Linked DNA regions of Lonchura striata. The protein of the gene in region 1 binds, or shares a complex with, the protein of each later gene. Links are inferred from orthologs where the notes say so. Each region holds a gene or a part of one and is shown on either strand. Other genes may lie near its edges.

What was found.
Region 2: NSMCE4A (region 1) and NSMCE2 share a complex: the UniProt entries of both Homo sapiens proteins name them as parts of the SMC5-SMC6 complex. The link is inferred for Lonchura striata from reciprocal best matches to the Homo sapiens genes NSMCE4A and NSMCE2.

The regions. Positions count from the first base shown.
Region 1 is NC_134609.1:28,228,220-28,235,101, forward strand, and holds the start of NSMCE4A (non-structural maintenance of chromosomes element 4 homolog A), read right to left. Parts: upstream 3,010-6,882; coding exon 2,763-3,009; intron 1,700-2,762; coding exon 1,619-1,699; intron 1,069-1,618; coding exon 938-1,068; intron 1-937. UniProt on the Homo sapiens protein: Component of the SMC5-SMC6 complex, a complex involved in DNA double-strand breaks by homologous recombination. The complex may promote sister chromatid homologous recombination by recruiting the SMC1-SMC3 cohesin complex to double-strand breaks.
Region 2 is NC_134603.1:11,866,765-11,873,781, reverse strand, and holds the start of NSMCE2 (E3 SUMO-protein ligase NSE2), read left to right. Parts: upstream 1-3,993; 5' UTR 3,994-4,008; coding exon 4,009-4,116; intron 4,117-7,017. Other genes in the region: WASHC5 (WASH complex subunit 5), read right to left, coding at 625-770, 2,636-2,821. UniProt on the Homo sapiens protein: E3 SUMO-protein ligase component of the SMC5-SMC6 complex, a complex involved in DNA double-strand break repair by homologous recombination. Is not be required for the stability of the complex.

The DNA.
Region 1 (6,882 bases):
CATTCATGGTGAAACACTGAATTCTGGTGTGTGGCTAATAAATTAGTATTTAATGCCACTGCCTAGCAGCTTTGACTTTCATGAAAACAGATAAGCACTCAAATTCACCCCTTCGCTCAGCAACCAATGAAAGTCATAAGTAAACAAAACTGCTTAGATTCCAACACTTTCAGTGGTGTATGAAGTAGCCGAACATTACTCATATTGCACTTCAGAGCTCAGATGTCTCAGAAGTTTTTGAACACTACACACTCACAGAACGCCCAGCCCCTCAAATATCATAGAACTTATCTGGCCTATCCCTGCATCCACACTAGCAAGAAAAAATTTTAAACTGAACTTTATGTTTTTTATAGACTTAAGCAAACACTCAAGATTCTTTGTTGGTCTGCTGTAACACAGGGGAGCATTTTCAAGGAGCAAAGAAGCCAACAGCCTGCTTAAAAGCTGCTCGGATCCGACTCCTCCCCCCAGTACAAAGAAACGAACTGTCCAGCCTGAAAGCATTCAAGTGTTCTAAAGTCCCACCTCACATCAGTGACACAAGGCCTCAAGAACTCTATCCAGAAACATAGAAACCAGTGGACAGGATAAAGCAACTACTTAGCTACTGAGAAACTACAGAAGAATGACTGAAAAAAGAGAAGATTTTAAGAGCACGAGCTGACTGAGCTGTGATAAAGCAGCAGCAGCAGTGCAATAATGGGGGAGGTGTCTGCATTTCAAGTCAGATTTTCCCCTATTGCAAGTGCTTAATATGCAGTTTAAGACAATTAACAACAATCACCAGAAGGTTTATCAAATAAATTCATAGGAAGAGCATTAAATTCCACCAGAACTGCCATGTACTGCCTGACAATCTGAGGCTTTATGGTTCTGTAACAAACAGGGCAAACCTCCAGTAGAAATGTTGGCAAACTCAGAGCCTGGAACTTACCAAGTCTTCTGCAAATGCTGTTGAATCAAATGCTGACATCTCTGAGTGTAACTCACTGGCCTTCTCCTTTCCTATATTGGATGCTATAACGAGGAAATGGGCATCCAGTGCAGCCTCCCGTGCACGGCAAACTGGTACAGAAAAGATTTTGTGGTAATTAATATAAAATTGTCACAAAGAGAATTATCAGATTCAACATAGGGACTATCCTGGCTTAAGTGCTTTGGAAATCCTTTTATTGAAATGACCTCTAACACATTTACATAATCATCATAATAATATTTACATTAAAAAAAAAGGAAAGAATGACAAACCATGGAAGAGTAACACACAATTTTGAACAACAAATGCATTTTTTAATCAACATGCTTTCCACCTTTCCAAGTGAAATGAACCCCTCTACACTGATATCTTTTATGTGTATTACTGATATATGCTGTTCCAGTGAATCAAAATAAAGCAAGGAGTTATTTCTAAAAGCAAATAAACTGCAATGACATTTATTTTCTCACATCAACTTACTGAACCAATCTTCAACTCAACATATCTATTTTAAGTTATATAAAATTCTGATGAAGTACTTGGACCTCAACTTCACTCTTTTGCCTCTTTTGTTTGTAAGGCATCATCGCCTCATGCTTGGCCAAACACATCAATGAAAGACTAATGAATTTGTTTTACCTCCATCAAAAAGTCTATTGGCTTCTTCCAAAGCTTCTGTCAGCCTGTTGCTTTTTGAATTCAGCATGGCTTCTCGATTTTCTGTGGGAAAAGACACAAAGAAAATCCTGAATTAGAAAATATAGAAGCACTGAGAAACGCTGCGCTTGTTTGATGCTGAATGGAGGCCAGGTGCCCACCAAAGCTCCATCACTCCTCAGCTGGGCCAAGGACAGAAAAGAGAACAAAAAGCTCATGGGCCTAGGTAAGAGAGTTACCTCACTAGCAAAACAGGCTCGATTTGGGGAAATGAGTGGAATTTCCATGAAAGAAACGAACCAGCCACTACAACTGTACACTTGGTCAGTTCCATAAACAGGCTGGATCACCCATAAACTGCACTGTAGCTTCTTGCAAAACAACTGCACAAATTTATCAAGTATTCACAAAATAACTAATCCCACGTATTGCTGAACTTGGCAGTGCTACTGAGCACATTTCTGTGAGGAAAACAACACAACTCACTCAAATGGATATAGGAGAAGGACTCACACACTTGTCTGGAAAGATGCTAAAAACTACACAGCGTTTTTGGAAGTCCCAAGATAACTTTCCAGTCCAGGCACATAATGATACCTGCAGTTTCAAACTAAAGCTCAGACACCATGAAAGTGAAATTAAAGGATTTAGCTGCATCTCCAGGCCTTAAGCCGACTGTTCCCCTGCACCAATGCAGCCACCACACGTGTGTTAGTGCAGCTAAATCCCTCCTAACCTCGCTATCCCAGGGCATGCAGGAAAGGAACTTTGCACAGGCCTCAAACTGAAGGAGAGTACGTTTAGATACGGGAAAAAATTCTTCCCTGCAAGGGTGGGGAGGTCCTGGCACAGGTTGCCCGGAGCAGCTGTGGCAGTGTCCAAATCCAGGCTGGACAGGGCTTGGAGCAGCCTGGGACAGCGGAAGGCATCCCTGCCACGGTTGGAACGAGAATACCCGTAAGGTCCCTTCCAGCCAATCCATGATTTGCGAGTCGAATTTCTTTCAGAGTCCAAACCCAGCGCATCGGCAGCCCGAGGACCACCCGTTTCCCCACACGGCCAGGACCGGCCGCCATCCCGGACCGCTTCAGCCGCGGCCGCAGCGCTCCCCCGGCTGCCTCCTTACGCTGCACGGTGGAGATGAGCTCCCGGTACTGGCTCCGGATCATCCTGTTGTGCTCCCTGTCGTCGTCGTCGCCGTCGCCGATGCTCAGCTGCCGGAGCCTCTCGCCCGCCGCCTCCTCCTCCGCCGCCTCCTCGTGCGCCGCCTCCGCCGCCTCCTCGCGCGCCGCGCGCTCCTGCGGCTGCGGCGGGCGCGCGCGGCGGCGGCGCGCGGCCGGCGGGGACTCGCCGCTGGTGCCGGCGTGCGACATGGCGGCCGCCAGCCGGCACCGCGGGATGCGGGTGACCCCGCCCCGCGGCTCCGCCGGCCTTCCCGGGATGCGCGCACCGAGTCGAGCCTGCGCAGTGAAGAACCTCAGAGGATCCTGGTGGAGGGGTCTGCGGGCACCGCCGGTGGTCGTTGAGCCGATGCGCTCTGCTCGCGATCTTCCATAATGGCGCTGCTTGCCGCGCCGGTTCTGCGCGGTCCGTTCCGCAGCGAACGGGGCTGGGCCTTTCTGACTCGCCGCAGGGGCGGTTACCGATCTCTCAGCGTTCCTTTACATTTCCTTCCTTCCTCCCTCGGAGTTCCGGTGGCTGCCCGGGGCTGGGCGCTGTGAGCGGCGGCGGGCGGTGCGCGGAGCCGGCTGGGCGGGGCCGCTCCGCTGCGGGCGCGGCTCCATCGCCGCCGCGGGAGGGCGCTGCGGGCGCGGAGACCGCGGGGCGGGAGGCGGAGACGGCCAAAGTCTGAGGGGAGCGGGGGGAAGTGAGGGAAAGGGTGAGCCCAGTGTCCCAGCGCCTCTAATAATGGATCCGTGAGGCAGCCAGCACCTGAGGGGAGAGGGGAGAAGTGAGGGAAAGGGGTGAGCCCATTGTCCCAGCACTTCTAATAATGGATCCGTGAGGCAGCCAGCGTCTGAGGGGAGAGGGGAGAAGTGAGGGAAAGGAGTGATCCCATTATCCCAGCGCCTCTAATAATGGATCCGTGAGGCAGCCAGCATCTGAGGGGAGCGGGAGAAGTGAGGGAAAAGGGTGATCCCATTGTCCCAGCGCCTCAATGCAGAGATGGGTCCGTCAGACAGCCAGCGTCTGAGGGGAGCAGGGAGAAATGAGGGAACGGGGTGCTCCGATTGTCCCAGAACCTCTAATAATGGGTCTGTGAGGCAGCCACCGTCTGAGGGGAGCGGGAGAAGTGAGGAAACGGGGTGCTCCCATTGTCCCAGCGCCTCTAATAATGATCCGTGAGGCAGCCAGCGTCTGAGGGGAGTGAGAAGTGAGGAAACGGGGTGCTCCGATTGTCCCAGCACCTCTAATAATGATCTGTAATAATGAGGCAGCCAGCGTCTGAGGGGAGCAGGAGAAGTGAGAGGGAAGAGGGCGCTGCGATTGTCCCAGGGATGTGTCTGGAAACGCCTGCTTTAGTCACTGAGCAGGGATCTGTGCTCTGGCAAATGAAATAAATTATAGGCCCATAGAATGGTTTGGATTAGAAGGGACTTTAAGGACTGTCTAGTTAGGATCATGGAATCATCAGGGTTGGAAGTGATCTTCAAGATCATCCAGTCCAAGTGCCCACCCAGCTTTGTCACTGTAACCCCTAAAGGACATCACTCAGCTCCTGAACACCTCCAGGGATGGTGATTCCACCACCTTCCTGGGAACCCATTCCAAAGTGCCTAAAACTTTTCTGATCTCTAATCAGAATGTCCCCTGTCTCAGCTTAAAGCCATTTCTCCTGGTCGTCTCACTGCAGGCACAGCAGAGACCGGTGCCACCTTGCTGCACCCTCCTCCAGATCAGCGGGTGGACAGTGATGAAGGCCCCCCTGAACATCCTTTTTTTGTGTTGAAAACGCTCGCTCCCTCAGCCATGCCTCAGAAGAGCTCTCTGGAAACTCTCCATGTCCTTTCTATAGTGAAGGGCCCAGCGATGAATGTGCCACTTGAGGTGTGGCCTCACCAATGCTGAGATCAGGGGGAACATCACTTTCCTGGTCCTGCTGGTCCCTACAAAATATAAATCATAACATTTAGCCCTTCATAGCTGAATAATACTATTATGTTGTTCTAATTATTGTGGTGGGGGTTTCAAGGTATTCTTGGGAGTATTTCCTTAAACATCTTCATAGTTCAGCTTGACTCAGTATATAGACATGGATCTACTTCAGTTTGCCCAAACCAGTACTTCAGCTGGACTACAGACTGCAACTATGCACAACCTACCTTTCAAAATATATGTTTGAAATATGTAATACCTCAGCTGAACATTAATAAATTATATTTGAGCTCTTGAACCATTTTCTATTCTTTGTGTGACTTGTAGAGTGCTGTCAAATTTGCATTGCAAATTCAGTATGAGTAATTTACTTTCGGATGCTGACACAGAAAGGCTCAAGAGAGGATCCAAACAAGACCAGGGCCCATTGTACACTGCAGTACATAAACACGTGGTAAAAAAATATTTGAGATGCAAATACAGGCTCAGCAAATGTGAATTACAATTTTTTACTGTCATCTCACTATGCTTAATAAGAACTCAAGATTTCACAATATTGCAAGACATTGCCCTGCATTTTTGTTTTGAGATTCTGCTTGTCCAGATGATCAGATCTCTGCCTTCCTTGCTATTATGTATCTGTCAATTGTTACTGTCAACAGTGAAAATGATAAGTGAAAAAATGCCCTATATGCATCTAACTGCAAGATTTGCCAGTTGTCTTTCCACACCAAGATTATTTTTTATCTGATGTTCATTCAGTTCTCATTCATGCATATACATCAAACCTTATTCTAATTGAAGCGAGAAGAGTCACATAGAGGAATCCTAAAATAAACATTTTGATGTAACAGGAGAGTTTCACTGTGTGCAGATTTCATCATTCCCTCTTTTATTCCTCTCAGGGTGCAGAAATGAATGCAGAGTTTCTGGCATTTAGAATTTTAACTCATAACGTTGTACAATTTGTATATACCATGATCATACAGGTACTGTATTTCAGCAAACAAAAGTCAGTTTCCATTGTTGCCAAATACAGAGCAATAATGTGTTTTTTTCTGGTGCTGAGCAGTGAATTACAAGAGGGACTCAGTGCATCTCAGCTTGGGAGCTGCCCAGCACAATGGTGCTCTTACCTAGAGCCTCTAAAACATGGAGCTACCACTGCTTCATTTACTGTCAAATCTGTTCACTTGTCCAGTTCTGGAAATTGGCCTCCTGATGTGAGTATCCCTGATTTGCTAGCAGATGTTCCCAGGCATTAATGGAAAAAGATTTGTCTTTAAATGAGACCTTTTAGTCACTGCCCAGGAGTAAACCTTTTTTGCATTTCCCTTGAATACACCAAAAAAAAGTTCCTGTTTGGGATAAAGACATAAAGCAAGCAATTAGTTGTCTGAAATTATGGCAACACAGGACCTGTTGCCCAGTGATGGCTGTTCCTGATATAAAGTTAATCCTGGTATCTGAAATGATACCAGGATTCAATCTGGTAATTGAAAACATCAGAAATAAAACATCTGAGATATTTGGCATTCAGCTGCCAGCTCTGCAAGCAAACAAAGATGAGAAGAAACTCTTCTAATGAGTGCAGCTAATTTTAAAAAGTTGTTTTAGTAATGCAGAAGTGTGAATTAGTATACTTGGTTCTTGCAGCAGCTTTTATTTCTGTACTTACAGATAAACCTGTGGGGGTGAAAATCTGGCAGCAGATATTCCCTCAGCAGTGTGGATTAGGTTACAGCCCATCACATCACCATATGCATTGTGCCAGTCTAAGATGGGATTTTCAGAGACATATGAAAGAACAATTATTAATAGAACTGTGAAAAAAAATATCCCAGTTTGGTGAGATGTCAAGGAAAAAAATCCTTTTAGGATCAAACCCTCACTGGCACCAGAATCCCTTTCTTTTTAAGGACTTGGAAGGTTTCATTAAGTGAAAGACTGACAACAGGTCGCTACAACAACAACATGTGGAAATCATGCTGCTGGAGACCAAAATACTGAAAATCTTCCACTTTTTCCCTACAATCAAACAGCAATGTAGAAAAATAGAAATAAAATAATAAAATAAAATAAAATAAAATAAAATAAAATAAAATAAAATAAAATAAAATAAAATAAAATAAAATAAAATAAAATAAAAT
Region 2 (7,017 bases), on another chromosome or scaffold:
CTGAATTAACAGAAGATTTATTCCTATTAAAGGATCTTCTAGTAACATGACTTCGTAAGTAATATCAAACATTTAATTTTTTCACATAACATTAATAGTAAAGCCAACTCTCACGTTTAAGATCCTCAGTAACTTTTTCTTAGAGCATTTAATGAAGCTTTAATTTTGCTTTTTACATGTCAAAGTAACAAGCTTGAGAATATGGCATCTTCACTAAAAGATTAAGTTCAAGAAAATAATGCCAATGAAAATTAAAAAAAACCCTCAAACTACCTAACATTCTGTTTTGCAAGATCGAAAAAAAAAAATAGCTTAACAATATGGATTCTCCTTTTATTTAAAAAAAATCTTCAGGACAATCTCTAAGATAAAGAAAAACAAACTCATAGTTATAGTTGAGGAAATGAGGTAGAGAGGTTAAATGTTTTCAAGTCATATATTAACCTGGAAGGGAACTGTTGGAGTAAAAGTTAGTGCTCACTTCAGCAACAACCCAGGTTTGTTGATGCACATGAATGTGCTTCAACAAGGAGTATATTGGGTCTCTAAGGAAAAAGCTTCTAATCAATAGGACAAAACAGAAATCTAGTCTTTAAGAATCTGTATGTATTCAAGATACCATACCTGTTTAAATCTACAATGTATTTATGTACACTCTGAAAAGCTAAATAAAATCTTGTCAAAATTTCAATGTTGTTTTCACGAAATTCTTCATCTAAATCCAGTAACTCAGGCTTGGCTTCCAGTTTACCTTCACATATCTCAGGCCCCTGAAAAACAGAAACTCACCTTTAGAGACAATACTTGACTTTGATCTCTACTTGACTTCTCTACAGTAGGACACAGACCATGTACAACCACCCCTGTGTGCAAACTACAGTTATCATTTCTTACCAAAACAAGGATCTGTAGTTTTCTAACCCAGTTTGTGGCTAAATATTGATTCCATAAAGATGAGTTTTCCACATTGTTACAATCTGCAATGACTTTAAATTGATTTATCCAATGGAAAAGAATAGTCAATGCTTTCAGTAAAGCCCCAGTATATCTGAAGGCACTGGGTGCTTTCTATAGTGCTAACTATCTCACTGATGGAATTTTTTTCCTTTACCCATTTCTTCTGGTTGACTTCTCAGATAGAAACCACAACATTGAGGGCTCAGAAAGCGTAGTATCTTCTCATATATTCAAACTGCTTCAAAATATTAGACATGTTTTTTCCACACTCTACATGTGTAGACAGTACTTGTCTCCTGAATTAATGCAGACACTTTGTCATTAACAATCATGGGGGAAAAAGATTTGGGATGAAGAACCTGACTTCCTTAAAGCAATAATACAACTTTTCTAGCCCTTTACCACTGTCGTATTTCTCATAAGCACCACGCAGTATTAGCATCACCAACTAAAGGAAAATAATGCTAAAGTTTAATTGGAAGTACTATTAAAATGCAATTGAAAATATCCAGCTGACAATTTGAGTTTTTAAAAATACTCTTTGCTTCTCTTTCTGTGCAAAATATCTACATAAAACAAAGGATAAAAACAGGTGCCAAACTGCCTATGAAGTTAAAATGGACAAAGTAACTAGTCTCAACTTTTCAAATCTCAAATCTTTCCTCAGAAGTAATTCTAAGAATTGTGAATACAGAAGGGGTGCATTTGCAGTAAAAATATCTGCAAATTCTCTAATCTTTGCTTTAACAGTATGACTTCTATGGATTTATTTGATTTTAATGATGAAAAACAGCACACTTATGCTTTCTTAACATTCAAATTTACTGAGGCTTTAAGGATTACTGTATTTCTTACCAATTACAGCTATCTGCTTTTAGACTTTTAAGTAATTTGTGCAAAAAAAAAAAAAAAAAATTCTACCAAACACCTAGATCTAAAGGTAACTGTGAAATCATTTGTGCTCTGGATTTTCAGTATCCAAACCTCATGGTGCCTGAAATTTACAACTCCTACTACAATCAAATTGACTTAAAAGTGCCTCCCTTGCTTTATTATTAACATTTCTTGTATTGGACAGTCCAAATAAAGTCAGATTAGACAGTCTCTGTTGTTCCTTCTTAATCATGGTGGAAAACGACAGAGGGAATTTTGTATTAAAAGCTTAATTCTGAAAGAGAAATAAGGGCTTTCCATGGACACTTCTCCTTGACTTATTTATTTATTTATTCAGTGCATGTGACAAGTCCAGAGGAAGAACAATCACAGCACTGTCAGACAGGAAAGCAGAAAGCAGTTTTCATGGCTGCAAAGAATAAGCTACAGATTAACAGAAGAAAGATGGGCATGCTGCCCACGGCACTGCTCTGAAGGGAAACAAACAACCATGCAGCCTCAGAACCTGCTGGAGGAAGTTTAATTTAGTGGTCCTGCAGGAATTACTACCACTACCACTACTACCACTACTACTAGTGCCACTACTACTACCTCCCCAGAATCCAAGACTCATGTCTTATATAATTGATATCTATCAAAATTCACAGCCAGATGACACATCAAACATTTTGGAAGATGTAATAGTAATAAACACAATAGTCAGGAATGGCTGTATCACAAGCTAAAACATCCTCATGTTGGACAGCAATGCTTTAAGGAGAAGTTTAACAATAAAAGGATTTACCTTGAAATAACTGAAATCAAATATGATATCTCCATACTTCTGCTGATCAGCCTTGTCCTTTAGTCTGAAAACACCAGGAATAAATTCGGAAAGTCTCAGAAGTTCTGCAATGATGGCATTTCCACAGGAAACAATCCGAAGAATTGCCTGACCACAGAGATTGTTTTCAGCCAGAAAATCCACCATTGTGGAGCTCAGTGTGACAGAGCAGCAGAAGTCCTGCAGTCTGATTCTGATCCTTACTCTTTAGGTTACTGGAAGCAGAAAGCCTGATGAAGAGACCAGCCACGCCATTAATAACCTGTAAAAACAAACCCACACACATCCAGCGTGGTTTATATTCATGTTTCTGATAATTTAATTTGTGGATATTTAAGCATACTCTCCAATCTTTCAAATTATGAAATCTAAATTATCCACAGCTTTTGAAATGAAAAAATGCACAGAATTCATTTTCAGCACGTACACTTAGTTTGAGAAGTGAACTGTTTGAGCAGGCAGGGGAAGTGTGATCTTTTGAAGAACAGTTGAAGAACACTATTAAAAAATGAAACAGTCACAAATAGTGAAGCAATTATGACCAGGCGAGGAGATTGGGCCCAAGGAAAGCAAAGTCACTTCACAAAATGTGTTTTTAAGATTCACTTTAAAAAGTCAACCGAAGTGATCATAAGGGCTTTAGCAATAAGGAAAACTTTCATAGCAAATGGAAATGACAGAGCTCCGTTCATTATTTATTGCTAAAGGACGAGCTTCCATGCTGTGCTTGCATTTCCTGCTCAGTTTTACTCGTTCACGCGTCTCCTGCGGGACACGGCGTGCAGCGCCAAAAATAAGCGTCTGTGCTTCAAAAACACCTATGGAAAATTATGACCAGGCTTGACTTTTCACCAAACACTTTCTGGAGCATTACGATAATTTGACAGTGCGCTGTCCCAAGGCAGTTCTGACCCAGAAGGAGCGGCCGGAGCCCCCCCAGGTGCCCAGTGCCGCCGCAGGCTGCGCTCCGCAGGGCGCACAGCGGCTCCAGGGCGGCAGCGGCCGGACGGGCTCCGAACCCGCTCCCGTCCCGTTCTGTCCCGTCCCGTCCCGTTCTGTCCCGTCCCGTCCCGTTCTGTCCCGTCCCGTCCCGTTCTGTCCCGTCCCGTCCCGTCCCGCTCCGCCACCGCCGAACTCACAGTCTGCGCTCAGGCGGCCCCGCTCCCTCGGCGGCTCCCGCCGGCACCCACCCCGCCCGCCCCGCCCGGGAGCGCCAGCGGGCAGGGACGGCTGCGGGCTCAGGAGGATGGAGGGAGGGTGGGAAGGACGGGAGGGAGGCGGCGGCGCTCCCTGTGTCGTAGCCGAGCCCTCCCGTCACATGACGGCGCCGGCTGATGAGGCGGTTCCGCCCGCCCCGGTGCCGGCGCTGCCCGCCTGCGGTTGCTGCGGGAGGCGGCGCGGGGCCGCGCCGGGACCGCTGCGCTGCCGGGCTGCGGGACGAGGTGAGCAGCGCCGCCGCCGAGGGGGGCTGCCCCGCCGGCCCCGTCCCCTCCGCGGGCTCGGGCAGCGCTCCGGGGCGGCGGCGGGCGGGTGCGGGGCCGTGTGTCCGTGTGGGACTGCCCGGCCTGCCCTGGCCGGCGGCCGGCCCTGGCCGGGGAGGCGGCCAGAGGCCCTGGGAGCCGGAGCCCTGCTCGGCGAGCTTGCTCCCCGCCCGGCCGTCTCCCTGTGGGCGCTCATCACCGAGTGTGCCCGGGCTGGACACTGATCCTGCTGCTCGGAGAGCACTTGGCACCTGTGGAGCTGCTGTTACAGAAGCAAATAATACTTTTTTCTTACCTCTGGTTCATACTCGTTGAAGAATTCTATAGAATACTATATAATAATAGAAATTGAGACATTGAAGAATAGAAAGTTTAGGTAATTTCCTCAAATATTTAAAATAGCGAACGGAATAGAAACTGTAGGGTTATCTTGTTCTTTATCCTGTCTGGACCATTTCATCACTTCCTGAAAGAAAAAAAAAGTGTCCTCGATAGTCTCCCATTCATCACGGAGTTTGCTGGTTGTGTTTTCCAGAAGTGAAGGGGCTGGAGGTTGCACATGATAAGTGCTTTGATGCGCCCACTGAAGACCTTCCTGCCGAAAAGAGTGCGGTAGAAACACTGCAGTGAAACCAGTTACAGAGAGGAATGTGCCCCTCCCTTGAAAGGTAGAATGGACAGCTCCACTGAGCTGAGGAATTCACTTAGTTCAAGAGTGAAATCTTTGCCTTGGGATCTGTAGGAGACTTGAGGAACAGTTGACCGGCTCAAAAGAGCCAGCTGGGAAGTGGTGGGGGTACAGGATCTGTAAGCCCTGAAGTGGCAGAGCACAGAAGATATAAGCAAAGCAACACGTGTGCCAAACATGCTCTGCTGCCAGGGGTTTAGAAGTTGCTGAGACAATGCTGGATCCTGGGGTGATGGCCATTTACTTTTCTCTCCCCATTTTTTTTTTTTCTTTCTTTCTCTGGTTTTCTGGCATACTCTTCTCAAAATATGTAAGTCAGACTGGAAACTTCCAGTTTCTTCTTGTGTCTGGAGAAGTTAAAAGTTCGCTGAGCTAAAGTTTGGGAAGTACTTGATTTTTGTCTGGATGTTTTAAAATTTGCCAAGTACCCTATTCTACTTGAACGTTCCAAAGTTTGGAAATAAAAGTTGTTATTGAGTCTCCTGGTAATTTGGTTGTTTTTCCCATGCACTGCCCAGGGTATATCCCAATGCCTTCCTCTGAACCCATCAAGTAGGCTGGGGCATTATAGGATTGTAACAAGTTTCTAAGAAAAATAGCCTTTTATTAAAAAAAAAAAAAAAAAAAAAAAAAAAAAAAAAGGAAAATTAATCTAAAAGAAGTTACTTTCCAAAAGACAGATTGAGATTAACCTACCATGCAATGATATGATTTAATGTCATAACCATAACTTCTGCTCCTGTGTAATTTGCTCATGAGAACAAAGAGCCTTTTTAACTTTTCACTGTTGTTTGTATCTTTTTTTCAGATTCCTGCTTTCACAGTGCATATCTGTGAAATTTCCAAAAGAACAGCAGGTTTTCTCAGTGAGATTTGCCAAGTTCAAGAAGGGAATTAGGCTCTCTTTGTTAACTTTGATACACAAAATGGGCTCAGAAAGATAAAGCTGCTAACATGATTTTATGTGACTATTCCATAGTGTACGTTTGGATCACAGAGGTTCTATACAAACAGTCTTGCTAAGATGGCAAACAAGTACCTTAAAAAAAAGTTAAATAATATACTAGCTGAAGGAATTTGTTATTAAATCTTCAAGAGCATCCTTTTTCTTTACTTTCAGGGAGTTCTATAAGGAACCTTTTCCTTGTCTTCTGTTGTCAGTTTGACAGCCTCTAAAGACCTCTAATGATATCAGTCACAGTCTTCTGTCAGGAAGAGCATGAGCTGACATAACAAGAGCTGTTGAAGCCTGCTGCATCGGTGGAAAGATGCACCTTTAGAAGGGGATAGAGAGGAATAAAAATTTCCATGTAATTAAGAAGTTAAATTTGTTGTGAGGTTGAACTGTTGTTAAAATGTTGCTGGAAGCACATGACCTAAAGATGGTGTACTAAAAGATAGTATTGACTGGCCAAGCACATTTTATAAATGTAAAAAAGGAAAATGATTGGAAATAAACATTAAGAGACAGCAGGTCTCAGTCTGTATTGTGAGGAATATGGCAATGTTCAGGTTAGGGTGAGCACAAGGTGTAGTTCTGGAGTCTCAGGGAAAGCAGTGGAGAGAGATACAGCTTAGGTATACAAAGCTTGGGAAAAGCACTATACTTTCTGTTAACATGTTTTCCAGATTGCTGTTGGATTATAGCCTATTAAAGGCTGTTATTGATAGAACAACTCTTCCCCCTCTGGTATACCCCAAATTTGTTTGTGGATTCTACTCTCTATCTCCCCCAATGGCATCTCAATATAGTCCTTGAACATACTAGTTATTCTTTACATGGAAAAATGCAATACTTCTGTCTATCTAAGAGTTCTGCTTTGCTGTATCTATTTTTCTTTTTTTTATTTCTTTTTTTTTTTTTTTTGGTGTATCTAAAGCTGATGCAAAATTTTTCTAGTCTGCAACTTGAAGTATAAAATTCTGCATACCAGGTTCATGTTACTCATGGTAGCTACATGTCTGAGCGGGTTATGGCAAAGGATGAAGAAGGAAGAGAAGAAAATGAGGATTTTTGAGAAGAAACCAATGGATGTGAGCAGTGTGGATAGGCACAGCATAGGCAAAAAGACTTGAAGGTTCTAATAATGACAGAGCAGCTAATCCCCACAAGGGTGTAGGCTCTGGGTGTGTATTGCAGATCCAGAGGGTGGTAAAGAAGATAAACAATGGTA